4 linked regions of the Notamacropus eugenii genome follow. The protein of the gene in region 2 interacts with the protein of the main gene of each other region in a pairwise test. Links are inferred from orthologs where the notes say so. Each region holds a gene or a part of one and is shown on either strand. Other genes may lie near its edges.

Region 1 (7,117 bases), on a different chromosome or scaffold from region 2:
GTTGCATCTGACTCTTTGTCATCCTGTGAACCATATCTCCATGGGGTTTTCTTGGCAAAGATATTGGAGTGGTTTGTCATTCCCTCCTCCAATGGACTAAGGCAAACAGAAGCTAAGTAACTTGCCAAGGATCTAGTAAGTGTCTGAGGCCATATTTGAACTCAGTTCTTCTTGACTCAAGGCCTAGTGCTCTGAGCCACCTTGCTGCCTTTAATTATCTAGGAATCTCTACAAATGATTTAGAAAAAGAGAAGCGAAGTCCTCTTCAGAGCTATTCTGAAAATGAGGCCTATTTCAGAATGTCCAGAAGATATTTCCAGGGACCAGATGACCACATGGGAAAACTGAGACTTAAGACAATATGTGATGCTTAAGTGGACATTAACAGTGGATTACTAGAATAGAAGAAGACAATGTTATCTAATATTGATGATTATCACTGTATTATTTTGGCCTTTTGTTTCATGGTGTTTAGGTCTGCTGAAGTTATGTTGGTGATATAAATCTCCCTTCTCAAAATGAGTTCATTGTGAACCCTCTAGATAGTCTGATCTATAACCTGACTTATATAATTCCGATTATGAATATATGGAAAACCTTATAGATTTGACTTATAGATAAGTGATTTATAGGAGAGGGTGCCAGTCTCCTCTCCCAGGAATCAAAGGAGAAGAATCGTGGGAATTGAGTGAACCAAACTGATTCCATCTTGTGACTCAATTCTGGATCTAGTTCAGTTCCCTTTCTATTCAATTATGGATCTAGTCCAATTTCTGTCCTGCGAGAAAATGTTATTCAATTATAGGAATGGTGAGAAAACATTATTACATTTGCTTAAAACTAGCCTTGCATAGTTAGGAAGTTAGACTACCTCTACTTGTTGCTTAGAGAACTTTAACTAAGGACCTAGATTATGCTGACCAGAAACCCAGTCAGAACCAAGATCAAGGAGTTTTCTTACAATTCTACATCTCAAGGAACCCATATGTCTTAACTGAAAATTGGCCTATACTGGTTTTCTTGTTCCTTTGATTGAATATAGACATTTGAGGAGCAGGGGGAAAGTGAAACACTTCTTTTTTCCTTCTGACTTCAGGGAATTGCACCTGTTCACTCTACCTCTCCCAACTCAGAAAGTCCTTAACCTCTCTCCATTAGAAATCAGATTATCTAATTTGTATCTGGGTTTGTATCTTGTTAATTGTTTTCAATACATAAGGATGTCTCCTCCTGTATTAAGGGTCTAGTGCCAAGCTGAGGAGGCCTGGTTCCAATTTGTTATGCCATAGGCATATATTGCTTAATAAATTGATGCTTGAAACCTTGAACTTTTGTTTCCTCTGTGACTTCAGATTTCACCCATCACAATCTGGAGGTGGCCAAATTTTCATGACCTTGTGAATGATGGGTGCTCATCTTCAGTAGTTCATGTGTAACTTCCGCATGCCACTTCCAAGTGGATGGCTTCTGAATTTCTTTTTCTAGTATTTATCTTTCACTTACAATCCTGTAAACAATAGTTGTCTAATAGATGTTCTGCTCTCTCTACTATTCAATATTCTCTATTAACTGGCTTTGCCACTTATTAGCTGTGTGGCCTTGGTAAAGTCATGTCTCTCAAAGTCTCAGTTTTTTCTTCCATAGAATTACGGGGCTGGACTCTCAGACCTTAAGGTTCATTACAGCTGTAAATTCTATGACCTAAATTAAACTTGTCATCTTCCACCCAGACAAGTTATTCCACTCAGCTTCCTGATTTCTTGTCAACAAGTCACTGTTGTGTCACCCATATTTAAAACCTTGGAGTCATCATTGGACTCCTTCCTCTTCCTGTCATTCAAAAGTCCTCATAATCTTGCTGTACCCTTTTTAAATTTTACCTCTTATTATACCTCATTTTGAATTCTATCCAGTCAACCTGGTCCCATTGTCCATATCAAACTCATTCTTATCTACTGCTTCCCCTGCCACTACTTATACTATCCTTGGTGTGGTCCGGAGGAAAGAAGGTTAAAATTAGAGCAAAACCCAAGTTTCCTCATCTGTAAAATGTGGAGGTTGGATTAGAATCTTTTAGCTGAGGAATCTTTACCTGAGTCTCTTTTAGATGAGGAAATTGAGACCCAAATTGAGACCCAAAGAAGACCAGTGAAGGGATGTAATTTTTTCCCTTTTGCCCTAAAAACTTACTGTTTTTAAAAGAGAAAGACAGACCCCGAGAGGGGTAGAGGTGGTTGCTAGGAAAGCTCCTTACAAGAAGGGTTGGGGAAGCATAGACTTGAGCATTTAATTCAGATGGTCAGTGGATAACTGACAGCTCAGCTTGCTAGTTATCTGGTGGTAAAACGCACATTTCACTTCCTCTATGATTTTTTTTTTCCTAACCACCATGGCCTATATTGATGTCTTCTCTTCTTTTTTTTGCCTTGCATTATTTCCTTATTGCTATTTCATATTAACTATTATCTTTCCTACCAGGTGTATAAGTTCTTTCGGGTCAAGGACTTAGCCCGATGTTGTCTAACTTAGAGCCAGAAACAAAGTAGGCATTTAACAAATTCTGCTTTAATTCTTTTTATTTTCCTGTCCTACTGAAAAGTGACAGCAAATTCACTGATTCCATTTATTAAGCACCTACTATATTCAAAATTAATATTTTGCATAGTGAAATGACAAGATTTCCAACTATTCTGGGTAAGTTACGACCTATCTTAGGAAGGCAGGAGAAGCTAGATATTTTTGAGGAGACTGATGATGGATGTTACAAATCACAGTCAAGTCTACAAGGAAGGCAGTCCCCTGAAAAACTTCATGAATATCATAGATACCGGCCCTTATAAAGAAAACTGTTCCTAATTGTTTCTGATGTCCTTAATTTACCTGCCAGTCTAAAAGTATTTTACTTTGTGTTTGATGGAGGCCCCAGTCACCTTTGATCCCAAATCCCTTCTTCTCTCCCACTTTCTTCTCTTTTCGTTAAATGCCTCCTATCCAAACGGTAACCACACGCCGCCGCTGTCTTCCTTTGAAAGGTCCCTTGTATCCATTTCTCCCATTCTTCCGTTGCACGGATACATTTGTATCCTTCCTCTCCAGATTTTCTAAAATTAGCTTCAAGGGCAGCTTTGAAACTGACAAGAATTGTAAAAGAACCAGCATGAGGCGAGGGATGCACTGTCAGGCTTCTGTGATAAAGGCCGGGCTAGGGAACCCGCCGCCTCGAGGCCACACGTGGCCCTCTAGGGCCTCAAGCGCGTGCTCCCCGCCTTTGAGCTAGCTGGAAGGGACCATAGGGTCCATCGGGCCCGAGTGGTTCTCCTAGTGTGGTCCAGAGGGTTCCAGAGATCTTTTCAGGCTGTCCGCTAGGAGGAAGGTATTTTCATGATAATACAAAGACGTTTTAATTTCGAATACAGCAAATATTAATAAATAACTCACATAGACAAAAGCTCTTTTTGGGGGGATATCCTCAGTCACTTTTAAGAGCGTAAAGACGGTTTAAGGTTAAAAAAAATCTTTTTACATTATTTTACATTAGAGGAGACTGAGGCCCGGCTACACAGCAGGTGACCAGGAGGGAGGGTGGGACTCCGACCCGATCGAGCTCGGCCTCCGTGCCCACGCAGGGGAGGCCAACTCTTCCCCAGGAGGAGCCCCGGGACGACCGGCCGCGGACCGTGGTGGAGGAAGCGGGCGGGGCCCTGCGCTCAGCTCCGTGCGGCAGCCTCTGCGCTTGCGCAGGAACTCCGCCACGCTCTCCCACTCCTGCGTGGCTGGCCCGAGCTGTCCCGAATAGCCGCCCTCACCTTCTTCTTCCCCTCCCCTCCCCTCCCCTCCCCGTGACGCCATCCTTCTCCCTTCCCTTCGGGCCCGGGAGCCCGGACGCTCCGAACCCACACCCCTCTCCGCGCTGCGTCACAGAGCGGCTTGTGACGGCCCCGCCCGCCAGAAGTATCGCGCGCGGAGGTCGGTGCGCGTGACGCGGCACGGGGGAGGAGGCGAGAGCGAGAGCGAGCTCGCTGGAGAAGGCTAGAAAGGAGGCGGAATCGAGGCGCCGAGGACGGAGTCCGGTCCGGTCCAGTCTGGTCCGCGAAAATGTCCGTTTGACACCGTCCAGGTGAGACTGACGCGCCGAAAGGACCGGAAGGGCCCGGGCTGGGCGGCTGGTTCGGGCCTCTCCGCCGGCCCGCGGCCTCGGGACTTGGGGCGGGGCGGGGCCGGGCCCGGCTCCCCGGGGGCTGCCGGCCCAGCCAGCCTACCTGCAGGGGCCGCGCCCGGGCCAGCCCGGCGCTGTCAGTCCGTCGGCCCCGCGCTCCCGTGCGGGAGTGGCCGCGCCCACCAGGACCTCCGCACCCCTCTCGGGAGATGGAGGGCCCGGGGCAGGGGAGACGGCGGAGGCGCTGCGAGAGGGCCGCGCGCCGGGGACCATCCGGGACGTGGCACGGCGGGCACCGGGGACCATCCGGGACGTGGCACGGCGGGCACCGGGGACCATCCCGGACGTGGCACGGCGGGCACCGGGGCTGGCCCAGCCGTACCGACAGGGTGGGGGTGCGGAGGTCGCGACGTGCCCTCCCTTCCCTGGGGGCAGGCCTTGGGCTCCATTCAGTGTCCCCAGGTGTTTTCAGGTCGCTTCTCGAGTGTCGCGGAGGAACCGTTGGCATCGCAGCCTTGGTTTTTTTTCCTAGAGCTGGAAGGGACCTCGAGCTGTCTAGTCCAACCCCCCTCATCTTACAGATGAGAAAACCAAGGTTTAATGATTTGCCCTAGAACACACAGGTAGTATCCCAGGTAGGATTTGGCCCCAGCCCTTTGAATCCAGAGCCGGCGCTCTGCCCACTGTACTGAGCTGCAGGTGCCTTACTCTTTTTCCCAAGTATATAATTGAATGGTGATACTGTCTTACAGTTCGGCGATTCTTCCAAGCACTTGGACGTATTCTATTTATGCCTTTAAGTCCCAGCTAAAATCAGACCACAGACGGGAAGCCTTCCCTGTGTCCTTTGGTATTTATCCTGTAGATAGCTTGCTTTGTATATCTTGGTTTGCATTTTGTCTGCCCTTTAGACTGTAAGCGCCTTGAGGGCAGGGACTCTCTTTTCCCTCTTTTTGCGTCCTCGGGGGTTAGCACCCTGCCTGACACTTAATAAACGTTTATTGAATTGAATTTGAACCTGAAAGTGGAGCTGGGACCAAAAACTGTGTCCTCCCGATACCTTTCTCAGCTGATTGAAGTTCATCAATCAGTCAATCTCAGCTACTTCAGTTAGAGTGAATCTAATTAGCTTTCTTCCATTCTAATTTCTGACTTTAACTCTGGGGAAAAATTGAAGTCAAATTAGAGAACTTTGAAAAATAAATAAAACCTTAGAATATTTTTGTTTTAACAAGAAGGTTTAAAAGAGTATTTGATGGGCTTGTTGGCTGCTAGAGGATAGTTAGTGACAACTGTAAATAAGCTGCAGTAGCATAAAGCTTTTCTAAATACTGTACTTAGATACAAAAGTAAATTTAGACTAAGATGGAGTGATTTGATAAGCAGGCTGTTGCAAGAGATGTCTACTGAATTGAGTTCTTAGTAGCTATGTATGCCATGTACAGTATAATAGTGCTTGACATAAGACTTGTCCTGCTGGGTCAGATTTGGGATAGGACATCCAGTCCAGTATTCTGTCTCTGATCATGGTGTTCAGGGATCCAGCCTTGAGTTTTAGGCTTAACTAATCCAGACTTTTTATTGAACTTTGGAGCCTTCACTTTTCACCACATTCTGAACCCCCCCACTAAAGGCATTGTGCCTTTTTTATGTACTTTCCTGGGTCACTGAACCAAAGGTTGGCCATTTGGGTCTGTAGCTCTGCTGCAACTGCTCCTAATTTGTCATTATTAAGGTGTTGCTACAAAGAAGCAGGTGTCCTGTTTTACATCAGCTTCTTTTTCTCTTTTTATCCTGTTTCCACATGCTTCAGATCATGAAAGCTTTTTTTTTTTTAAAGAATTCGTTTACCAGGGAAAAGAGAACATAGAAATTCATAAATAATTCAGGACAAGGTAATTAGAAATAAGCTAATTTCAGACTTAGTACCACCTAAACTTTTTAACCTATGACTTAAATAAACTTCTCCTGGCCAGGTGGGTGCTGACCCTCTTCTAGCTTGGTAAACTCATGCTGCCATGGCTGACTCTGTCATGACTGCATCAAAGAATATTGTCTTGGCTACTAGAATGCTACCAGTCTGATTTTGAGATTCCTCACTTGGGTGTGCTGGGTCAAACTCTTTTGCCTATTATATAAGTTGGATCTCTCTCAGCCAATCAGGAAGTGACTGGATGCAATGACTTTTGGTCCTTCCTCCCACATTCCTATATAATCACTTTCTATCTCCTCCCCCACCAAATAAATACAAACAGGTAAATGCTACAGTCTCTCCATACTTCAAAAATCAGAATGATGCAACCCAACAAATAAATTACTCCAAAATTTACAAAAGACAACTCCTTAAACTGTGGTACCATAGAATAGGCCAAGCTTTCTCATTTCACAGATGAAGAAAAGAGCCCAGGGAAGTTATGTGAATTATCCTACTAGGTCATGCACCTAATAAATGTTTGAAATGGGATTTGAACTCAGATCTTCCTGATTCTGCCTGTCCAGCATTCTATCCACTGTACCTTGGTGACTTAAAAAATGGTCTCTATTCTGTGTATCTTTTATTAATTAAGTTATATTCCTTGCTTTTTCCTTGTCTTCATGCTTTTTTTCTTTTTATCTCTTTAAAAAAAACCCATCAACGAAGCTTTGATTTCTTTGGCAAAATAGGGTTACTTTCAATAAGTTGTTTGCCAGAGTGTTTTGATCTTATGTTTTCTTGGAGATCTCTGTTATGTTTCATTTTGCTTGGCATGAGTCTGTTGTTCCCGTAGGGTGCTTAAGAATCCCTTTTTATGGATTGAAGCATGACTTTCTCCACTTTTGCATTGCTAACTTCTTGGAGGTTGTAAGCAAACTTTTTATGTCCTGAGGAGCCTTAGTCTTGCCTGCCTGCTTTTCTGTACAGCCAGTACCCACTTCTAAAAACTTGAATTCCCTTCCTTAAACTGGTGGTGTCATTTCAGT
Region 2 (7,798 bases):
TTAATGAAAAAGCAATTCTTTTGAATTCAGGCACAATACTGACCTGATGAGGTCACTATAATCCAAGTTAACAAAGCATAATGCCTTAATTTACTTATAATTTTCATACATGCAGATGTAACAATTTGGTATCAACTTAATACCTATGCCATTGTACCTTCTCAAACATTCAGACAAACCCAAATTCTGTAGAGCACTTAGCATCATCACTAATTTGGATAAATTTTGATTATTTGGTACTGTAATTTAACATTTAAAATGAGTGTGTGCAAGGTCTTATACAGATACAGGTATTTCTACTCTAACAGACCACTTTTAATAAAGAAAAAAAATACTTTCACTAAATTTTCCCATTGTCAATGGGGGAAAGGGAGAAGGAGGAAGGGGTTAAACTTCAAAGTTATTTCAGGCAACTGAAAATTACTGCAGGAGTTAATAAACTTTTTTGTGTCATAGATTCCTTTGGCAATCTGGTGAAAACTATAGACTCCAATGGTTCACCAGCTATGTCTCACCAGTGCCCACAGACAGGAAAGACTACAAGCCCTTGAAATCCACAGTAATTTCAAAGTAGTGGTGGGCATACATAACATTCCAAAGTATCTGCAATGACTATAACATGGCATAAAAATATTTGTGATTTCTACCAGTGATAAAGTCACAAGTACTATTAATGATGCTGTGGTTTATTACCTACATGTGTAATTGACAGAAAACCTAAATTTCAATTATAGGTTGCTTAGTAAAAATTTTTTTAAAAATTTCCCATTCAAGTTCCTGGACTCTCCCAAATCTAACCATGAAATCCTTCATGTTAAGGACCTCTATTCCTTATATAACTGAAAATGTTCACAACATCACTAGAACTAGGAAAAACATGGGATGAGGTGTCATCTTTTTAAAAAGCAATAAACAAAAGTTGCTATAAAAATGACTAGGTTTTTCTAAAGAAATTCTGGGAAATGGGCCATAGGGTTCAGGTTCCTCTGTAAAAGAGATGTGTGTTTGTCCTTTATTGCCGAAGAAGACCATGCCATCAGAGAAATGATGATGACTTTTACTTGACTTTGTTTTGAGTGAGGGAGGGCTGAGGTTAGTCTAGACAGAAGGTGGGAAACCTCTGGCCTCAAACCACTCCTGGTCTAGATAAATACCCATGGTAAAAGGATCTTGGAAAGGATCTGATCAACAATCTCATAATAAAGTATTTATAGAGAGGTCAAGTAGCTTGATGTACTATCCTCTTTAGGAAGAAATCCTCACTTTAACTGAGGTCTCCCAGGATTCTGAACAGAAAGGGTTAATAGACCCTTCAGGCACCACAACTGCAAAATGCTGTTTTTGTTCCTCCTTCCTTTTCAAAGAGGGCTAGTCAGCCTCACTCTCTCTTCCAGAACGATTGAAGTTCAGTGGAGAAACAAAAATCAGTAGATTGATGGAAGGCTGCAGTGGATGACCTTGGCTTCTTTGATGTCTGACCAACCACTAAGCACTCCACAGCCCTTGCATGGCTCTTGGAACAAAATGTTCTGATCTGCTTGGGGAAGTCTATCCATGCGTGAGGTAGACATCCCTCCCCGCAACTTAATGAAGGGCTCCAGGGCAGTGGGTTACTCTAAACTTGGCTTAGTGGGTTGTGACCACAGCACATGCTACAACTTCTTGGAGCCACAGGTGACAGTTGGATGACAGCCCTCACACCAGGAGTATTCATCCTCCCTAGACACCACATACATCCTTATTAATCAGAGGGGGTACCTTCCCTAAACTTCTCAAATCATGCTGGAAAGGACCTTAGAGGTTCTAGAGTCATGGGATCATTTCATAGAGAGAGAAAGAACTTCTGAGGCTAGCTGGTCTAATGCATCCCCATCCCTCACCCCCTTCATTTTACACATGAGGAAACTGAAGACCAATTAAATCAGATGACTTGTCAATTCAACAAACATTTATTAAGCACCTACTGTGTGCCAAGTCACTGGGCTAAGCAATGGGGATACAAGAAAAAGGCTAGGCAGGGCCAGTCTTCACGTATCTTACAACTAATAGGGGAGACAAGGCCAAGCAAAGGGATACAAAGTATCTAGGTATCCTCCGAGATGAATGCCTCCATTTTGCACGGGGAAGTGGCTTGCCCACAGCGACAGGTCCAAGTGGAAGCAAATTGATGACCCTGTAGAACGGCGGGCTAGGGAAATCTGAGGCTTGCCCAGCTGATGGGTTTTTTTAATACCTCCAGCGCCTGGCACGGTGCCCTCACTTAGTAAGTGCTTTAACGTCTGAACTGAACTGAACCCCGGACCTAGGTCCATTGGCCTCTCGGGGGCCAGCGGGGGAGGAGAGGGAGGGGGAGGAGGATAATCTCGGCCTAAGTCGCTCTAGCACAAGGCGCACTCGGACTGCTTTTGAATCGCCCGCCGGGGACACGTGGCCCCCATCACCGCCGCCTCCTCTAGAGGGGAGGTGGAGGAACCCACTTCAAGCATGGCCCGAGGCGGGCTAACGAACGAACCCCAGCCGCCAGCACTCGCCCTCGGACCCGAGGAAGGCGAGCGGGCACCTGACGGCGGGCTTGGCCGACGCGCCCTGCGGAGCCATGGGCCGCACTCAGCGCGCAGCCAGGCGAAAAGCACGCCGGGAAGAAGCGCGCAGTCGCTACCCCGCGCCTGCGGACTAAGGAGCAGCGCGTCGACGCCGTTCAGCGGCCTCAGCCCCGCGGCCACGCAGGCCGTGCACCCAGCCCCGCCAGGCGTCCGCAGCAGCGGCAGCGTCCGCCCCCGCCCCTTTCTCGTTCTCCCGCCGTTACCTTTCCCGGCCGCGCGCGCCGCCGCCGACGTTTCTGCACCGCCTCCTCGCTCGCCCACTCGTCCTCCCTCCGCCCCCTCCCCACTTTAAAAAAAAATTTTTCCCCCCTTAATGAATTGAACCAACCTCATCCTCCCCACTTTCCTAAGGTAATCGAGTTGACTCAGCCTAGTACTGTCATTCGCTGGGCCTAAACGGTGGGAGGGGAAGGGTTTTACGAATCACGTGACTCCGGCGAATTGGCTGGCGGAGGAGCAGATTGGCGCGGCGGTTGAAGGCGGAAGAGCGCTGGAGCGGAGGTTCCCCCAACACGCCTGCGCGATGATCGCCGGAGAAACGAGCGCGAGACTCGGAGCATGCGCATGCGCATCCCTTTCACATTCTTTCCAGGTCTGCTGGTTTGGTTACATTGTATGCTGCTGCTCTGCAGCTGTACCTCCCCTGTCCCCTTGTGCTCACCCCAGGAGAGTCTCGGCTCTTTTCTTCCACCCTTCTGTCCCCTAAGGAGGATACTGGAGGGCAGTGTCGTTCCCTCCCTCTCCTTTCTCTTCTGGCCTCGCTCGTCCCAAACTGCAGTAAGACGAACGTCTGTGTGTGTGTGTCTGTATGTCTGTGTCTGTGTGTCTGTGTGTCTGTGTGTGTCTCTCTCTTCTGTTACTTGATTTTGTATAGTACTTACAACTATTCATAGTCCCAGGGCTTTTATTAAGCAGTATGTGCCATGCCCTCTGCTAATCTAAAAGTTAGCAGAGTTTGTAAATTTCTGAAAGTTTGTAAAAATCTGCCAAAATCTGCCTATTGTGTGCTGCTTCCTCAGGGGTGATAAAACTGTTTTAAGTCACAGCCTCAGCTCTAAATGAGCTTCTGGTCTAATTGAGGTTTCAGGATAGGAATTCAATAGCCATATAAGATTACAATTCAAACATTTTTTCACTGCTTTCTGCTGGAAGTTCTCAGCCACACAGTCAGGAATACAAAGATGAAAATCAGTGATCCTTATCTATACTTAAGGAGCTTACACTGTATGTGACAATTAAAAAGAACAAATTAATCAGTGATGACTTATAACATGTATTCTGATAAGAGGAATAGTAGATGACAAAAGAGGGCAGCAAGCACTTTGAAGAAAATGAAAAGAATGTGGGATACAAGAATTTAGATAAATGCTAAGAAAAAGTTGAAACATCCATGGTTTCATTGATCTGGGTATAAATACTGAAAATGGATCCTTTTACTTTATTGAAGTAAAATTCTTTTTAAAAAAGAATCAAAAACTTGTCAGCCAGCTGTCATCCATTTATGTTTATTTTGAGCTCAGGCCACGTCCACAGACACAAAACAATTAAAGTACATTTGGACTAATTCAGAAAATTAACTAGTTGTGTGTGTGTGTGTTTAATTCACTCATCACCAAATTTCTGAACTGTAACTTGTAGGCCATAGGTCTAAGAAAATCAAAATCACAAAAGAATGGACAGTGAGGTACAGAGGGATGGAAGAATTCTGGATCTGATTGATGATGCTTGGAGAGAAGATAAGCTGCCCTATGAAGACGTTGCAATACCACTGGTAGGTAACATGCTATGAATAAGGGAATGGGTATACCATTGTAAGTAACAATTAATTAGCAAACCCAGCAAAAGCAGAAAGGAGGAAGGGCACATGACTCACAGTGGGAGCAGTTTATCTGGACCAGAGTTATCAAATATACTTCCCTAGTGGGCCTGAATTAAAATTTAATTAAGAAATGTTCTTAAATAAAAATACAGTAGAACAAAGATAATGTTAATGTGTGGTTTTCTAATCAATATACAGCCACAGGGATCCTTAAGAGTTTAATAGGTCTGTTTCTGTTTGAATTTCACACTGCTGATCTAGGCCTCCTAGTTTTGTGGCCCTCCACCTGAAGCAATGAAAAATAGAGAGGAGGGGATGGATGTAAAATTATTTCTTCCAATCCTTTCAAAGCAAATCAGCCAAGGCATAGAGAGGTTAAGTAATTTGCTTAAGAACATAAAACTAGTTAGTGACAGATCTCCTGAATGTCAGTCTAGTGCTTCTATCAATGTACTATATAGAGATAAGTCAAGAATAATTAAGAGTCAGAACCACTGAAATCAATGGAAAAAATTAAAAAGAGCTAAGAACATACCTTAGAACAACTAAATAATATTCTCTTCTTTCTTTTACTTTCATCTGTCATTCAGTTATTCTCTTTGTAAACCTCCATACTTTGATGCTAGACCTTTCCAAGATTTTCTGAGAGATTTCTATTCTCTTCTCTACACCTACCAAGTTTCTGAAAAAAAGACTTAAACTTCCACGTTTGTAGATGTCCCTGGACTTTTAAGTTTAGTCCTGTGTTTGTTTTTTACTGAGTTAAAATTTAACAAATTACCATAGCACTCTTTATAGGATGGTAAAGATGTTGGGGTAATTCATACTTCAGGTCCAAACTGAGTAATTTCTAAAATTGCTTCCAACTTTTTAAGAGACTGTAATTATATTATTTTTCACTTTAATGAAGGCTTATGATAGATCCTATGTATATCATAAGGACCTACTGAAAGAGAAGAAAATAATTGAAAAGAGGTGGAAGAATATTTTTTCTGTTAAGAGGTGGGGGGATGGTAAGGGGAAATAGTCACAGGTCATATGCAGGTAAAAACAACTTTAGCTATTTTTGAAGGAACTATGCAACGTTCATGTTACCTACTTTTAAAAATCAAGAACGGAAAATATAAAACTATTCAATAACTACAAATAACAAAGAGATATACCTTAAGTTAAGGATCAAAAAAGAAAAGGTAAAATGGACTGAGGACCTAAAAGAAAACATTCAAAAACCCCACTTTGAAATAACATTTTTGCTTAACCCTTGAAATAAAGCAAGGATATCCATTGTGTAGGATAAAGACCTGTATCTATCTCAGAAACTTTCACATATGTACCCAGAATTTGAGAATACTTTTCTTAGGCCAATTCAAGTCAACCCAAGAGCAGATTGGAGCCAGTGAATCAGATATTTTCTACCCATGATTTATTGATATATTTGCTTTACACTTCTTTTGTTGGTGTTAATTTTTTATTTGAGCTAAGTTTGTCTACCTTTATTAGTACATCCAGAATCCATCACATTATAGGTGTGAATTCTTCCACCCCTTTCACCAAAGTAAGTCACAGCTTTTCTATACTATAACTGTCTTTGTAAGTCACTGGGTCTGAAAAAATGTTCCTCATTTGATATCCAACTTTCATGTGATTAACACCTCTGAACTTTAATGGTCTCACTTAACAAAATACACAGTGTATTATCATCTCTGTACCCAGAGCCTTCCCTGCTTGGTTGTTGTGTTCATCCTTCATTTTCGAAGAAGACCATGATACCAGAGAAATGATGACATGACTTGCACTGGACTTTGTTTTGAGTGAGGGAGGGCTGTGCAAGGTCACCAGTCTCACTTCCCCTCCTGGGCCATCTGGATCCAGTGACCAGATATTCATCAGGATGACTAGAGAAGGCCCAGGATGCAGTGGGGAAACTCAGACTTTTCAGGTATTCACTTAGAAGAAGGTACTGCCCATTGAGTGAATAGGCCTCTTTAAGAAGTAGTCTGGGAATGACCCTTTAGAAGATAACATAACCTCTTACAACCCAGCATCAGAAGAGGGTTTTAATAGTGAATAGTTAGTAGTGTTTAAAATTTCTTCAAGTACATTTGACTTTCACATAAAATGAGTATTTTTCACTGGCATTAACTGGACCAAAAAATCTTTAACGCATAATTATCCTATAAAACTATAAAATTAACACTGACTTAGAAAATTGCTGATTCTTCTTTCCTTCTACAGCATTTTACCCTTGACAAATATATGCGATACCAAGAAAAAGAAAAGGACCTCTCTTAAAGCAGCAAAAGAAGTAAAATGATCAGTAATGACTCTCGTACTCCCAGGAGGCCTTGTCTTCACTTTCTTTTGCATACCTGATATGTCCTTGTAGATGTTGTTTCTTTTTATTATTGTTATTAATTCATTTGTTTTCAGTTTTTTACAGTCATTTCCATAAGTCTTAGATTTTTCTCTCCCTCTCTCCCCAAGATGGCATGCAATCTTATATGGGTTCTTCACATACATTCTTATTAATCACATTAGTCATGTTGCATTTAAGAGTTAAAATGAATGAGAGAAACCATGAAAAAAACCCAAACAAAAAAAATATAACATGGGAGAAAATATGCTGCTTCATTCTGTGTTCCAATTCCATAGTTTTTTCTCTGGATATGGTTGGCATTTTACCTCGAGTCCATTGGGAATATTTTAGGTCATTGCATTGCTGTGAAGGGCTAAGTCTGCCAGAAAAAGTCCTCGCACACTGTAGCAGTTACTGTGTGCAATGATCTGGTTCTGCTCCTTTCACTCAACATCAGTTCATATAAGTCCTTCCAGGCTTCTCTAAAGTCTTCCTGTTCATCATTTCTTAAAGCACAGTAGTATTCCATTATATTCACATATCACAGTTTGTTCAGCCTTTCCCCCATTGATGGGCATTCCCTCAATTTCCAGTTCTTAGCCACCACAAAGAGAGCTGCTATAAATATTTTTGTACATGTGGGACCCTTTCCCATTTCTATGATCTCTTTGGGATACAGTCCTAGAAGCAGTATTGCTGGGTCAAAGGGTATGCACACTTTTGTAGCCCTTTGAGCATGGTTCCAAATTGCTCTCCAGAATGGTTGGATTAGCTTGCAACCTCACCAAAAATGAATTAGTGTTCCATCTTCTCCAACATTTAGTAGATGTTTCTTGTAGGATACAAGCTGCTTAAGGGCAGGAAGTTTTTCACTTTTTCTTTGTGTCCTCAGGGCCCAGCATGTAGTAGACACTTAATAAATGCTTGTTGATTATTAGTTGAATTTCTGGCTTTCATTTTATGAAATATTTGCTCCTTTGGAACATGTCATTCTGAGTTTTTTTTTCCCATTTTCAGAAT
Region 3 (7,718 bases), on a different chromosome or scaffold from region 2:
TCTCATTTATCCATTGTAAGGTATTTTGTCCCATTATTGGATTCTTCCAATTGTTAAATAGTCCTTTGAAATATTACCTCAAAGATCTGTGTAGCCCTTAAAACTCTAGGAGTCCTTACTTGAATTCCCATTTTCACTGATGAATCAGATCTCTAGAGCAAGCCTCATGACTATATTCCCCCACTCTGGGTTCCAGAGATACCCTTGAGGGATTGGAAAATTCTGTCTTTAACAGTATCAGCCTGAGACCCAGTTCTGCTGTGTGCTTCAAGTATCAATCACCAATGATTGGCACCTTATATGCATTTAGCCAACTAATGTCAATTAGTTTTTTCAAAGAGATATGAGAAGACATATGAATAGAGATATAAACCATTCCCCCAAAACTAAGCATACACTCTCCCCGTGCCACCCTAGTCTAGTCCATGGAGATAGTGGTCTCAGACTTAAGGTTTGCCATAAGGAATTCATTCCCCAACCTCATCCCCTAGTTTACTTCAAAATTCAGAATAGTTACTGAATGAATCCTTGTCTCACCTACTGCTAAACTTGATGCTGCTAGATTGAGTCCTCAAGGTTGTTCCTTGGGAACCTTGCTTTTGGTCTAGCACAGACTCAAGCTCTCAGACTTCTGAGGACACATCATTCTGACCTTTTGAAGTTCACAGTGTCAGAGCTGTTTCCATTACTCCTTCACCTACAGTAGTAGAGATCAGTTACAGAAGTCAACCAAACTACAACAACAACAAAAAAGCAAGAGCAAAGTATATTACTGTGGCCCAGTGGGGAAATAAAGGCCTGAGACCTCTCTGTCTCCACCGATAACTTTCAACTGTTTTTGACTCCTCACTGATTCACAGCCAGGCAGGAATGAGGATGAAACCTCACTGTGGTCATCTAATAGAGCCTGTTGAATACTCACTTCCAATTCACAGTCAATCAGAAAGGCTCCTCTTTGCCACAGGGTAAGCAGGCCTGAACCAGTTGCAGAATGTCTGGGCATGCTCCAAATCATTGAGCAAAGCCTTTTTATTACAAGTTGTCATACCTTTCCATAAGCAGACTTGCAGCTTCTCTATGGGAGGATTTTCACCAGTCACCCTTTTCAGTCAGAAAATTAGCTTTCTATCTCTGAAGGAAATTTGTTCCTTAGAGAGCTTCTCAGATAATCCTAAAGGGATTGAGGTCAAGTGATAGTCAACGTCTCAACTTCAGGTGAGAAACCAAATTATTTTGGCTTGTTGCCTACAAACTAGCTAAGGGAGAGGTTGTGGCACTTGGCTCTTTCCCTATTAAACTAAACTTCCCTCCCCCTATTCTGTAGGTCTACACTCATAATGTAGTCTAATTCTTTTGGGCCCCTGCAACAATGCAAGGTACTCCCATTTTTCTCCAGGGATCCCTGAAATTCAAAGAACATTCTACTAGAAATCCAGAAAAAGAAAATCTCCAGGTGTCCCTTCCCACATATGGCACACCAAGGTCTTCTGAGTTACATTCCTCACTATGACAGTCAAGTCAACTTCAAAAGAAAACAAACACAGAAAAGCCCCCCAAGAGGTGTGGTGCTCCCCCCAAAAATGATTAAGTATTTAGGGTTGATTACTCAGAGTTTCTAGGCCATCAAGCAAACTTTATTTGGAAGTAAACTTTATCTGTTTAAAAGCATCAGAAAAATAAGAACATTTATCAGTTGGGCTGATACACTTGCAAGATTATAACATCACAAAGGCGATCACATTTTAACAATCTCCTACCCTTATCTGGATTGCTAATTAATTTAACAATAGCAATAACAAAGATTGGGAAAGTAATTTCAGACTTTCAGAAATATGTTCTATGGAAATCCATGAACTGCATCTATACTAGTATACTTCACTTTTCCTTAAACTCAGTAAAGATGGCCAGTTGTCACCAAAGGAGAAAGAGAAAAGAGAAAGGGAAAGCCTTAGGAAGAGTAGTTAGTGTGAAATAGTGGAAAAATGATTGAATTTGGAGTCAGACTACATGGGTTCAAATCCCCTCTCATTTACTACCTGAGTGACTTTGGGCAAGTCCCCCCATCCTCTGGAAAGTGGTAGGTTGGTTGGATGGTATCAAAAGTCATTTTTTTTACCAGAGTCCTATGATCTTATTTTAGGCTCTTTCTACTGTAACAGTGTGTTCACATATTTTCCATGAGAAACTTATATGTGCAATATCCAGTGTTAAATGTGATGAAAACTAAATGAGGGTATCCATTCAGCAATCATGTATTAAGCACCTACTATGTGCTAGATACTGTACTAGTTGTTGAGGATAAAAAGACAAAAAATATCTCTTTAAGGAACTTGAGTTCCACTAGGGGAAAGCAGTGTGAATGCCAATAAGTATATAGAAAAAATACAGATTAAATGCAAAATAATGCTGGTGAGGGGAGAACACTAATAACTAGGGAGATTAAGAAAGCCCTACTATACTAGGTAGTATTCAATCTCTGCTTTGAAGGAAGCTAGGGATTCTGGAGGCAACTAGATAGTGCAGAGGATGGAGTGCTGGTCTTTGAGTCAGAAAGACCTGAGTTCAAATACACACTCAGACATTAAGCAGTTGGGTGAGCCTGGGTCCTGTTTATCTCAGTTTCCTCACCTGTAAAAATGAGCTGAAGAAGGAAGTGGCAAACCACTCCAGCATCATGGTCAAGAAAACCCCAAATGGGGTCATAGAGAGTCATAAATGACTGAAGTGACTGAACACCAGCTAAGGGATTCTACGAAATAAAGGTGAGAAGGGAACCCATTTCGGGCATGGGGAGAGTTTTGCAAAGACACAGAAATGGGAGATAAGACTGTCATGTATGGCATTGGTTTGGTTGGATGTACAGTACATGAGGAGAAGTGATAAGAAACAGTCACAAAAGACAGGTTGAAATCAGACTGAGAAAGAACTTTAACTGCCAAAGAAAGGGATTTGTATTTTATCCTAGAGACATACGGAGTCACCAAAGTTCCTTGAGCAAGGAAATGACATGGTTGGATGTACATGTTAGGAATATCAATTATGCAATGGTGTGGAGAATGGCTTAGAGAGATATGCAATCCAAGACTAGCTACTAGCAATTATTGAACATTTTAACGTTAGAGATCATTTAAGTAAATGCATGCACATTTTTGCAGATGATATAATTCGGAGAAATAACAATTACTCAGGATTGTATAGCACTTCAAGATTGTATAGCATTTTCCTCATAACAACTCAGTTAGGTTAAGTATTATTGACCTCATTTTACATTGGAGGAAACTGAGACTCCTAAAAGCTGTCTAAAGTCAGAACAAGTTCTAGGTTAGAGCTGGAGCATAAATCCAGGTCTTCCAATTCCAAAAAAATCTAGCAGTTTTTTTCCCATACATTGTTCCTTTCCACAGGCTATATTAATTATTCAGTATGTAAGCAATCCCTAAAAGTCTCACAATAGAAAATCTATTCCAAGTCTAATAAAAATGTTTCCATGCTTAGGACACTACATTCCTATGTCATTCAGCACTGTACTGTAACAATGATCCATTAGAAATTGGCATCTTTTTTTATATGCTATTGCAGAATTGTGAAGGAAAGCTGCAAAGATGGAATTCTGTGACTCCTTACCATACTGTCATAATATTAGCAATACCTTCAATCAGCACTACTATAGGAATTTTCTCTCAGGGCATATAGAGTACCAATAATAAGGAAAAGAGGTTACCAGGGGTGGAGAACCTGTGACCTCAGGGCCACATGAGGCCTTCTAAATCCTTAAGTGGGGCCCTTTGACTGAATACAAACTTCACAGAACAAATTCCCTTAATAAATAAATTTGTTCTGTAAAACTTGAATTCAGTCAAAAGGCTGCACTGGAGGACCTAGAAGGCTACCTGTGGCCTCAAGGCCATAGGTTCCCTACCCCCAGGTTAGCCCATCATGAAGGGCACATAATAGATAAAATTACAAACCAGGACAAGAAACTTTGGTATTTCATGGTGGGTTTTTTTTTGTTTGTTTGCTTTGTTTTGGTTGTTTCAAGACGTACAAGTAAATATCATCCCATCATAAAGAAAGTGTTTCATTTCTTACATTGTTAAAGTCATATATCTCTCCCTCTCCTCCTCACCCATTTTCTCCATAAGCAATCTGATACCACATACCCAGGAACAAAACACTAATTAATTAAACTAGCATGAGAGGGACAAGGAAGAGAAATTACAAACCATACCGGAGAAATGCTGAATGCCAGAATGAGAAACCCTCCAAGGTGAAAAAATTAACTGACCCAAAATAAAGGTACTCTAGCTGTCAGTATTTCTAGCCTTCAATGCAGTGGGGGAAAGGGCCTCTCCAGTTGTCTCCATTTTTCTTAGAAAAAAATAACAAAGTGGAAGAAACTGTTAAGTGCTAGAAGTTGCCAATTATCTCTGAACACCCCCCACCCCAGGTATCACATTTAAATTTTGCATATTACTTATCCCTCGCTATATATATCATCCAAGCTTCAGTGCCTTGGTCCACCCCCACCCCCCTTTCTCATCTCTCACTCTGTGTGTATGTGTGTTTCCACCTCTCTCTCTCTCTCTCTCTCTCTCTCTCTCTCTCTCTCTCTCTCTCTCTCTCTCTCTCTCACTCTCTCTCAGGAACAGGGGTGAGTGTCTGGCTCTGGTTCCTGCTGTGCCCTGCTGCTGGTTCGCTTGGGGTTTTTAAATTTTGTTTTGTTTTTTAACTACCTCCTTCCTCTGGCTCTCTCTTCCTCTCTTTGCTTTGTTCCTCGCCTACTGGTAAGTTCAACAAACACTTTTTGAAGTAACCTTAAAAGTTGTGAGGTTGGGGTTGTGGGTGGAGGGGAGGTGTGCATCGCCCAAACAGCTCAACTTGGAGATTGACAGTGAACTGCTGAAGCCTTTCCATGGTTTTATTTGTGCATAATAATAATGCTCCTCAGTAAGGTATGGGGGTCCTTTAATCTTCTGCCAAAATTGGTAGTAAAAAATTTTCAGTCTTAAGAATGAAAAAAAGTCAAGATAATAAAGTTTATACAAGAGAAAGTTTTGTAATACTCCCTATTTTGACCACCAGCAATTAATTAGAAGATCAGTATTTGCTCAGAAAAGGACAATTAAAAAGAAACACAGAAATTTTCCTAAACTAGCCTTCTTTCTGATATCGTCAGGCTACTTTTTAGGAAATGAGGATCCCTGAGTGCTCAGTGACTCGTTATTCCTATTTAAAAGCAAATATAATGTGAAAATCCAGAGGGCTTACAATAGATTTACTATATGGAATTAGAGTAATCTTTACACCTGAAAAATACAAGGCAAATTCATATACAAGTTCCACTGGCCGAAACCCAGATCCTGTGTTCACAGGCTACTATTTATATTTATTATTTACAGAATCTGAGTAAATTTGGGTCTGATTTCAACCAAAGAGGACCTCTTTAAGTATACAGATATGTATATGAGTATGTTACCTAATCATTTTTAATGTATTTATTTCAACTTGTTAATTCTTCCCATTGGGGATTTAATTTTTTAAAATAATGTTCTCCTTCTAAGGTTTTCAAAGATGAAGTGTTAACTAAATACCAAACCTCCTTTTAGAAGAGCTTAAAATAACTTCTGGCTGGACAGAGGGTGCCATGTGTCTTTCTGCTGGGGAGAGGCAGAAGCTATATATAGACAGATGTGTGTACCCTACAGGGATCAAATTAAAATGCCTGTGATTAAGAAAAAGAAGAAGTGCTTTATAAAATTGATTGAGAGAAGCCTGGCTAGACAAAAATGCTGTAAAAAAAGGAGAATTTACTTTTTTGTCAGTATTGAGCTGATGCTGGCAGGTTGCATTGTTAAACTGCCTTGGAGGGAAGAAAAGAGAGGGACCTGTCTAAACTGAAGAACTTTTCTGTTTCTTGTTAAGATCTTGGCATTGAATACACTGGTGAGAGAAAGGGTAACAGATCCTGCATCTATTTCATACAGCACCTATACTTACATTATTCCACTCAACATAATATCATTACAAAACACTAAGAGACTAAAATGGGGTCTCTTTTTTTAAGAGAGTAACCAATTTTATTGTTAAAAATAAATGGATCAGTAGGTATTAATAGAACTGATGTCAACAGGAGCCTAAATGCTGGCTTAGGTTAAAGTTACTACAATTTAATGAAGTATATGTAGCAGGTGCCAACGCAAGTTAATCTGCAGTACTTGATAGGACACAGGACAAGACAATCATAGACTCCAAGTTTTACCAGGACTGATCTTTGCCCAATGATTAATAATAAGAGCCAATATTTATATAAAACTTTATGAATTATAAGGTTCTTTTACATCATTTGATCCCCATAGCAACTTTATAAGATCAGTACTTATTAATAATTATCATTATTATTATAAAAATTATTCTATGTTATTATTAATCCCTTTTTGCAGGTTCAGAAATGAGACTAGAGAAGTTAAATGACTTTCCTATGGTCACACAGTAGATATCAAAGGCAGAAAGCCAAGACTTAGGTCTTCTGTCAGGAATAGAACTTGAGTCACTTCTGACTGCACATTCAGAGTTTTTTTTCCTTTAAACCACTGTGCTCTCAGGTTTCTAGCTTTTGGATAGAATGTAAAACAACAAATATCTTTGCTTCCAAAATCTACTTAAATTGAGAATTCCAACTTGTTTCCAAACGAGCATTGTGGGTAATTCTCCCTGTTATTTATAGTAAAGTAAGTTCTTTAAAACAATATTTAACGCACCTATTAGTGTCATAGAATCAATGATCTTACCTGTTATTCACTCAGATGCAACCACAGTAACATCAGTGTGGATGTTCTTTCCAATGATGCAATTGACAAATCATCTATGCCTGCCCATCTTATGCTTGACCATGTTCTCCCTGCAGCTTGCTATTGAGGGAGTGCTGCCATTGTGCTAAAAAAACAAAACAAACAACTTTACTTTCTCCTCATGTCATAAAAATACCAGTGAAGCACATGAGGTGACAGCTATCTCTCAATCTTTCCACATGACTAGCACATCTCTTCTTTCTATCATGTATTTTTGTCATCTTTTACTCGTTTTTCTTTGTAGCTCTTTATGTCCTGAGTGTTACAACCTGACACACACATATATGCATTCATATATATACATACACATACATATAAACCCATGTGTCTCTCCATTGTTTTTTGAATGATATTAATTTTTAATTGTTCATAGATTATAGCATTCTATGCCTTGCCACCATGTGACCAGGACAGAATATTGATATTGAAAAAACAGTACTAATTTTCTAGAAAAAGTTTTAGCGTACTTAATGGAGAATCACAATTTCATATATATATATATTTACACACATGAAGACAGATAGAGACACTAGTGGATGAGGTCTATAATTTATCCATCTGTGTCATGCTCAAAAATGCAAATGGATGAGTGGTCCCATCCATTTGAAAGTTCCCTCCAGTAATGCATATCTTGATTCAACCATGCCTTCCCAACCCATGTGTAAGGCTTACCTATATTCTCCCAAAAGTTCACCACAGGGGATCCATCCAATGTTCTGCAGGCTTTTCTCACTTCCAGCATTTTAAGGTATCCATGGAATGCTTTGGCTGTCCACTTGTCGTATCTCAGTCTTGACAAGTGAGCAACCCATCTTCTTTTCCTATCGTACAATTCCTTTATACCTTCCTTCACTCCTGTTCTGTTTCAGT
Region 4 (7,655 bases), on a different chromosome or scaffold from region 2:
TTCTCTTTCCCTCAGTTCTGACTGCTGTGACTGATTTCCTCTCAGCTCTGCTCTACCCATTCAGCAAACTCCTCCCACCACAGGTTCTATGTGACTCAAACTCATGTGATTTAGGCTTCCATGTGACTTAAGCAGGTCAGATGGGCCTATTAATGAATGGGAAAGACCTTCCCATTTCAATTACCATTACATACTGCCACTACCCTAGCTCAAGTTTCCACTGATGCTAATCAATCAAATCTCTCCTAACTAATTCAACCTTCATTCAGCTTGCCAAAACAAAGGCCTACCTCTCTAAATAGGCAGGCCTAGACACCAGGGCCATAAATGAATTTCTGGTTAGTTTGGGGTATAACTTTTACACCTTAGGAAGCTGACATAATTGTGATTATGAGCTAACCCATTAAGGAGCTAAGCAAGAAGTTCATAATACCACAAATCTTGGTTCTAATTTAATTACTGAGCTTTTTGCTTTTGAATACGTTGAAAACCTATTCATAGGTTTTCCTGGCTTAGGTAAAACTTTGTTTAACCTAATTATTCCAAAAATTGTGAAAGAGTTTGGGACTTTTCTCTGTTCCTTCCTAGCTGTAATGGAATGAAAAAGATGGGTGAAAGTCAGGAAAACTGTGCTTTTAAAATCCTAGTTCTGCCATTGTTTACTTGTATGATAGTATTTACATCTGTAAAAATGAGGAAAGTCGACTAAATGATATCTATAGTTCCTCCCTCCTAAGGGCAGCTATGTGGCACAGTGGATAGAGTGCTGGACATGGAGAGGGAAAGACCCAAGTTTGAAGCTGGCCTCAAATACTTAATATCTGTGTCACCTTGGGCAAGTCACTTAACCCTGTTGGCCTTAGTTTCCTCATCTGTAAAATGAGCTGGAGAAGGAAATGGCAAACCATTTTATTATCTCTGCCAAGAAAATCCCAAAAGGAATCACAGAGTCAAATATGACCGAAATAACTAAACAACAAATAGTTCCTCCTAGTTCTAATATGCTATAATATCTAAAAACTAAAACTTTCGTTGGTTTGCCTAAGCACAAAGAAAACAACATCATTTTATTTTTTTATCCATGGCATGCTACTTAAGTAATTTCCAGTTTTCATAGCTTTCTGTTTTGCTCATTAAGACCAAAGTTTTCTTCCTATTCCTGGGGCAAGTTTAATAGATTCTCCCAGTTTTAGATGGAAGAACTGCAAAATGGGAGCAATGTGCCATATCTTGTGGAATTCCAGTCCAGAGAAGGATATAAAGAATTGAAAAAAAAGGATTCATTTTCTCACAAGATTAACAGCAGTTGTACTAATAGTGTACACTGTTATAGTTATGGCCAGATCAAGCATGTGTTAAAAGGTTTATTTTTTTTGCCATATCTGAATTTATATAGTCAGATTTCAGAGTCAGTTCCAATGTAGTTTAGGCCTCAGCTTTCCAATGACACTGATACACAAGGGAGAGAGAACAGTTTGAAGGGAAGAAAATCTCAAAGGATCTCAGACCTGGAATTTTTTTTTTCAATCCTTTATTGTAGTGAGAAGGATCTATGAAATGTCTATTTTAGGAGATTTGAGAGAAGAGGAACCAATATCTCTTCATTACAAACTAAACCGAACCATTAAAATCCTGGCCAAGAATAATCTCTCTTTTTCTGGGAGGTCATCATGGTATGAAATTTTGAAAGGGACTTGAAACCACAAAGAAAGAGAAAAATCCCACATGTACATTTATTTACCTAAAAAGATTTTTTTTAGCACTAAAAAGTACTAACAAAAGGCTTTATTTAAATAAGGGACTATTAAAAGGAGAAATCTTTGCCCTGCAGTTGGAAAGGAGACTCACAATGATTGATGAAAAGATATAAATTAATGATAGTAAGTTGGTTGAAAGGAATACTTTTGGAGTTGGTCAAATTGATTTCTCTTATTCCTGAATAGATATTTATACAGATTAAATCATTATTTATAATTTAGAATAGCAACTGACAAGTCTGCCTTTTTATATACTTTCAGGAACGACCATTTCAGAGACCAAAAAAGGTTTACTTCCCGGCACAAGAGTTTATATAAATGGGTCAGCGTCAAGGTATGTCAGGTTTCTTTTTTCTCATTGATTCAGGATGATCTGCCCAATGACATTAAGTTCCTGTTGATGAGCTAAATGCATCAATTATAAAACTCTGAGGAGGTTAACATAATTGCTCTCTGTAAGATGAATAGTCTTTCTCCATAGAAATGTTAGCGTCACCAGTCATTTAGTCTTTAGCTAGAACTTTTACAAAAAAAAAAATTTTAACTTGTATCAACTATTTTACAGATGTCACAGCAGAATAAGAATTTAGACCCTGTGCTGTGCTCTGAACACTAGACAACACACAGCTTCTCTCACACCACACAGACTACATTGTAAGTGAAACTGAGGGAAGGGGCAAGAAAACAATGATTGCTATTCTTGTCTAAATACCTCTTTTTAAAAATCCCAACAAAGTAACCTCATTTGGAGTACTTCATAAGCCACCATGCATCCATCAATGGTTTAGAAAGGAGAGATGTGGTAGATGAGTTTATACTTCTGTTGCTCTTTAAATGAAGGATCCCCTCAACAAAATGGTCAAGAAAACTCTTGTTAGAGAATATGTACTAAGAAGATTACAGCTGAATTTACAGGCAGAAATTCTTTCATAAAATAAAAACAGAAAATATTTATTCTTAGGATTAAAAATTTGCTTAAAATTCTATACCTAAATTTTCTAAATAATTCCATCAAGTCATCCTCGTCCTTTTTCTTCTTATCTTCTCCCCCAGTGAAAAGCATAATTTAGCCAGGTGCATCAAATCAATTAATATAAGGCAAAAAATGACTTCCTTTGAGGTAACTAGTACTAGCCTCTGCCCTGAAAGACAGTTTGTCAAACTAGATGAATTGTTACTCTAACCTGATGGATTTCATAATTCTTGTTTCTGCGTGTCATTCTGAGAGACAGTGTTGTCAGAAGTAGACCTCAGAACATTTGGTAAGTGTGAAGAAATGGGCTGAGAAAATTTGGCCTTCTTAAAAAACATACTACTGTATATTTTAAAGAACTGAGCACACATTTCTTAACACCTAAAGTCATAACTTTTTTCCTATCATGGCTAATTCCAGGTCATTCTTTTCAGAAAAATATGCCTAACTATATACAGCCTATGTGAGGGTGTTACAAGTCCAAGGAAAGGAATTTTTCATGAGTATAGAATATAACTTATATACAAACAAAATTACAAATTTCTGAAGCCTGACTGCCCAAATGACTCCTAGACGGCAGGAATTAAACCTTGGTAAAACCTGTTAAAATACAATTTAAGAAATTCAGTTGATAAACAATTTAAGTTAATTCTTTTCCCCCAAAACCCAACTTCTAATAGTACAAGGTAGTACAAATTGGACATGCCAAGTTTACTGTTCTTTATTTTCAGCAAAATTGTCTTTTACAATTTGTAACATATGACAAAGAACATACTGTAGTACAATTACAAACAAAGGACCTAAATGGAGCTGGGGGAGGGGGCAAGAACAGAAAAATGTGAATATTCTTACTTCTACGCTGGTTGTCTCCCCTCACCCTGCATGTAAGCTCTGAAGGTGTGTGCCGTCTTTGTACCTGCAGCAGGTAGCACAGTCCCTGACTTCAGGATGCTTGTTAAACTGAACCGAAAGCGCTAGGGAGTGGGTCTGGAGTACTCCAGGGCAGGCACCCCACTTCTGAGGGTTAGCGGATCAGTCAGACCCAAAAAAAGGCTTAAAGTTAATTACTACAAAGAATAAGCTGAAGGTGAAAGCTTAAGGCTGCCCCAAGAACAATGCATTTGTGCATCTCTGTGCAGATCCGCCTGATACCTATAGTAGATCCTAAGAGGTAAGGAGAGGCACGCACCCTACACTAAGGAGCACCTCGTGTATAGACAGTCCACGCACGGCCCCGACTTCCAACACCCCGGATACTGGTACACAACACAAACTTATCACTTATATGAACGGACGGCGTTCCGAGCCGGTGCGGTCGGAAGCGATTAACGCCGCACTAAAACACGGGAGGCACCCTTCTACCCACGGCGTATTTACCCGTGCGTGCATCTATACAGTAAACCCCAAGCTCCCCGCGGGCAAGCCCCCGGCTTTTATCGGGGTGTGCTTCGGCAGGCCGCTCGGCCTTTAGGAGGCTGGATATTAATATTAATATTTGCTGGATGGATCACTCTAAACCTAGGTGATAACTGGGTCCGCCCCCGGCCCCCCCACCGGCCACCGCCCCCTTTGGGGTGCCCTGGCTCCCCCTCTGCCCCGGGGAGGCCCGGGGGCGCGATGCGGGGGCACGGCGCCGAGTTCAGCCGCAGCGCTGCCGGTCCTCCGCCGCTCTCCCTGGACACACGGACTTCCCGGTCGCTGTCCCGGCCCGTCAGAGCAGGGCCTGCCTGGGCCCGGTGACACGCAAGGTCGGAGAGAATACCCAAGAACAAGAGGGGCTACAGGGGGAGGAAGGCTGGGAGAGAGGCCCAGCTGGTGACCAAATAAAGGAGGGCGGGGGGGGGGGCGGGGGGGGGCTGGAGCAGCCGCGCCGGACGGAGAGCCACGCCTGAAGCCCCAGCCTGCAGCACACGCCGGGCACTAGTGCAGGCCGGCGGGCTGTATGCCTCTTTCCTGGAGCTAGCGCTAAGCCCCGGCGCGACTCCGGGCGTGCGTGTGTGCGAGCACGCGCGCGGGCGCGCGCCGGGGGAAGGGGGTGGGGGCACAGAGCGGGGTCGCGCGCTCAGTGAGTCCGTCCGGGAGGGCAGGGGAGGGAACAGGAAGGGGGGGCAGAAAAGGGAGACAGTCCTCTCTTCGTGCGCGCGCGCAGGAAGGAGAGGCGAGGACGGGGTGAACGCGCGGCAGCGTCCAGTGGCGCCCCTTCCTCTCGCGCGCGTCCTCGCAGTCTCCCAGCCTTTGGGGCGTTGTCACCAGAGTTCCCCCGTGACCGCAGCGGATACTCGAACCGAAGCCTAGGCTTCCGCCCCGCTGCTTCTCTCGCCCCACCCCCCTCCGCCCTCGCGCTATCCCGTCCCATCCCGTCGTCTCGTCCCGTCCCGTCCCGTCTCGTCCCATCCCGTCCCGTCCCGTCTGGAGCTCGCACGCGGGCTCGCGCGCGCGGGCCCCTAGCCACCCTTCCCCCTCCCCCAACCTCCTCCTCCTCCTCCTCCCCCAGCCTCTCCGCCCGTGCGCGCGCGTCCACCGGTTCCCTGCCTCGCGCCGCTTCAATGTAGTCCCGGATCCCCGGGAGACGGAGGAGGAGGGGGCGACCGCAAGATGGCGGGTACGTGGACCCCCCCCTGCTCTCCCTGGCCACGGTGGCTCCGCCGGCCTCTCGCCCTATTAGCCAGGCGGCCAGAAGGGTCCTGTCCCAATGGAGAGGGGACGGGGCGGGAGAAAAGGGGGCCGGGCTGAGGCGAGCCCTGGGGGGAAGGCGCGCGGGGCCGGGGGAGGTGGTGGTGGTGGTGGTAGTGGTAGTAGCAGTTGGGGGGGTTGGGTGGGACTGGGAGGGGAGGGGTCTGCCCCCTCCCCGCGGGGGGCGCTGACCTTGTCCCTTTCTTCTCTCCCGCCCCCTCCCCCACCTCCCTCACAGATCTTTCACTGCTTCAGGAGGACCTGCAGGAGGAAATTGAAGGATGTGAGTATCGCTCCGCTTCCCGGCCGGGCCGGAGCCTTCTGCCGCCGCCCCCCCGCCCTCGGCTCCCGCTGCGGGGCTCCCTCCGCGCCCCAGGCCTCGTACGGGGGGAGGGGGACGCCGCCTCGAGCCCGGCCTGGCCCAGGCCCGGAGTGGGCATCCAGAAACTTGGACTGGGCTCCGAGCTGGGCCGGGAAGGGAGCGTAGTTGACCTTGTGTATTGGAAGGGGGTGGCATAAGTGAGGAACATGGGAGGGGGGGTCGTGCCATCTCTGTCTAGTCTCTCCAGGGTCGTCTCCACTTCCGCCAGGAAGCCCGAGTGGTCTGCTTCTCTTCCCCCGCCCAAGAATTCTGTTGGCTCCTCCTGGGTGGGAATGAGGGAAAAGCTGGTTTGGCTGGAATGCTGCCAGTGTGTCTTCTTACGGGGGGTGGGTGGCGTTTTTGTTTTGGCTCTATTTGTTGCCTTAGCGCCCCCATCTCTGCTAGTAAACCACGCTGGAGATGTCCGTTGTTAACAGTTAATCGGTGTGGATGGGATTTCTTGTAGGAAAACTGAGCAGAAAGTTGTTGGCAGTTTTCGTGGTTCACTTTCCTTCTACCCACAGAGTAGAGATCAGATACCCCATATTGTTCATTGGAACAAGACTTTTGAGACTTATTTTTTCCGTTTTTGACCTTTGGAGAAATTATTGGGAGGTATTTGAAAGTTGACTAGGAAAAGTTGTGAGAGTGGGGGTGATGTGTTCAGAAAGTGTTTCTAGAATGCAAAGGAAAAAAATGCCCCAAGCCTTTGAACTCTGGAACCTTTTCTTTTTTTTTTAAGAAATAGAAGCCTTTGAGGTTTCAAGGGCAGGTACTCACTTTTGTCCATTTTAAATGACATAAAACTGGCAAACTTCTTTACTGTATAGCCATGTTAAAGGACCTTCAGCTTTGCTTTTGGGGGGCATTTTATTTGTATTTTGAGGTTCTTTATCTTTGTGTTAGGTGTTTAAGTAATTAAAGGGAATGGGATAATAAAATAGAATTGGTAGAGAGGTGACATTATTGAGTGGAAAGTTTACATTTGAGCAAACTATAGTTAGCTTTTAAACAGCTCCATTTATTTGAACCCTTGGAGGATAACTGGCTCATCCAAGAATTATTTGTTTTTTAAATACTATTTTTTCCCTAATTACATATCAAGACTTTTTAGTATTCATTTTTACAAGATTTAGAATTTCAAATTTTTCTCTCTTCCCTTTCCCCTTTTCCTAAAATGATAGGTGATTTCATAGAGGTTATACATGTGCTGTAGGGTAAAACATATTTCTTTATTAGTCATAGTTGTGAAAGAAGAAACAGATCAAAAGAAAAAATAGCAAAAAGAATAAAGTGAAAAAGTATATGGTTTGATCTGCATTCAGAATCCATTAGTTATTTATCTGGATGTGGATAGCATTTTAGTCTGTGAGTCCTTTGTACTTGTATTGGATCATTGTGTTGCTGAGAAGAGCTGAGTCATTCATAGCAAGGTGTTGCGGCTACCGTGTACAATGTTTTCCTGTTTCTGTTCATTTCACTTTGCCTCAGTTCCTACAAGTCTTTCCAGATTTTTCTGAAATCTGTCTAGTCGTTTTTTATTGCCCAGAAGTATTCCATGACATTCATATACCACAGCTTGTTCAGCTATTCCTCAATTGATTGATGGGCATGCCTTCAATTTCCAATATTTTGCCGCCACAAAAAAGAGCTGCTATAGAGATATTTTTGCACGTGTAGGTCCTTTCCCCTTTTTTATGGTCTCTTTGGGATACAGACCTAGGCTTGGTATTGCTGAATCCAAGGGTATGCTCAGTTTTATAGCCTTTTGGGCATTGTTCCAAATTGCTCTTCAAAATGGTTGGATCAGTTCACAACTCCACCAGTTGTGCATTAGTGTCCCAATTTTCTCACATCATTTATCATTTTCCTTTTTTGTCACATTACCCAA

Evidence for each region.
Region 1: the proteins of CEP63 (region 2) and NDEL1 interact in a two-hybrid assay, tested with the Homo sapiens proteins (2 studies listed by BioGRID and IntAct). The link is inferred for Notamacropus eugenii from reciprocal best matches to the Homo sapiens genes CEP63 and NDEL1.
Region 3: the proteins of CEP63 (region 2) and TXLNB interact in binary tests that used the Homo sapiens proteins (3 or more experiments, as listed by UniProt). The two-hybrid records come from large-scale screens. The link is inferred for Notamacropus eugenii from reciprocal best matches to the Homo sapiens genes CEP63 and TXLNB.
Region 4: the proteins of CEP63 (region 2) and PPP4R1 interact in a two-hybrid assay, tested with the Homo sapiens proteins (2 studies listed by BioGRID and IntAct). The link is inferred for Notamacropus eugenii from reciprocal best matches to the Homo sapiens genes CEP63 and PPP4R1.

What each region holds. Positions count from the first base shown.
Region 1 is NC_092873.1:77,336,496-77,343,612, reverse strand, and holds the start of NDEL1 (nuclear distribution protein nudE-like 1), read left to right. Parts: upstream 1-4,003; 5' UTR 4,004-4,117; intron 4,118-7,117. UniProt on the Homo sapiens protein: Required for organization of the cellular microtubule array and microtubule anchoring at the centrosome. May regulate microtubule organization at least in part by targeting the microtubule severing protein KATNA1 to the centrosome.
Region 2 is NC_092876.1:333,964,394-333,972,191, forward strand, and holds the start of CEP63 (centrosomal protein of 63 kDa), read right to left. Parts: upstream 3,017-7,798; 5' UTR 2,937-3,016; coding exon 2,932-2,936; exon of another isoform or gene 2,807-2,931; intron 1-2,806. Other genes in the region: ANAPC13 (anaphase-promoting complex subunit 13), read left to right, coding at 4,276-4,374, 7,796-7,798. UniProt on the Homo sapiens protein: Required for normal spindle assembly.
Region 3 is NC_092873.1:225,871,756-225,879,473, reverse strand, and holds the start of TXLNB (beta-taxilin), read left to right. Parts: upstream 1-4,694; 5' UTR 4,695-4,784; intron 4,785-7,718. UniProt on the Homo sapiens protein: Promotes motor nerve regeneration. May be involved in intracellular vesicle traffic.
Region 4 is NC_092875.1:233,538,169-233,545,823, forward strand, and holds the start of PPP4R1 (serine/threonine-protein phosphatase 4 regulatory subunit 1), read left to right. Parts: upstream 1-4,609; 5' UTR 4,610-4,795; intron 4,796-4,809; exon of another isoform or gene 4,810-5,224; 5' UTR 5,225-5,325; coding exon 5,326-5,332; intron 5,333-5,641; coding exon 5,642-5,686; intron 5,687-7,655. UniProt on the Homo sapiens protein: Regulatory subunit of serine/threonine-protein phosphatase 4. May play a role in regulation of cell division in renal glomeruli. The PPP4C-PPP4R1 PP4 complex may play a role in dephosphorylation and regulation of HDAC3.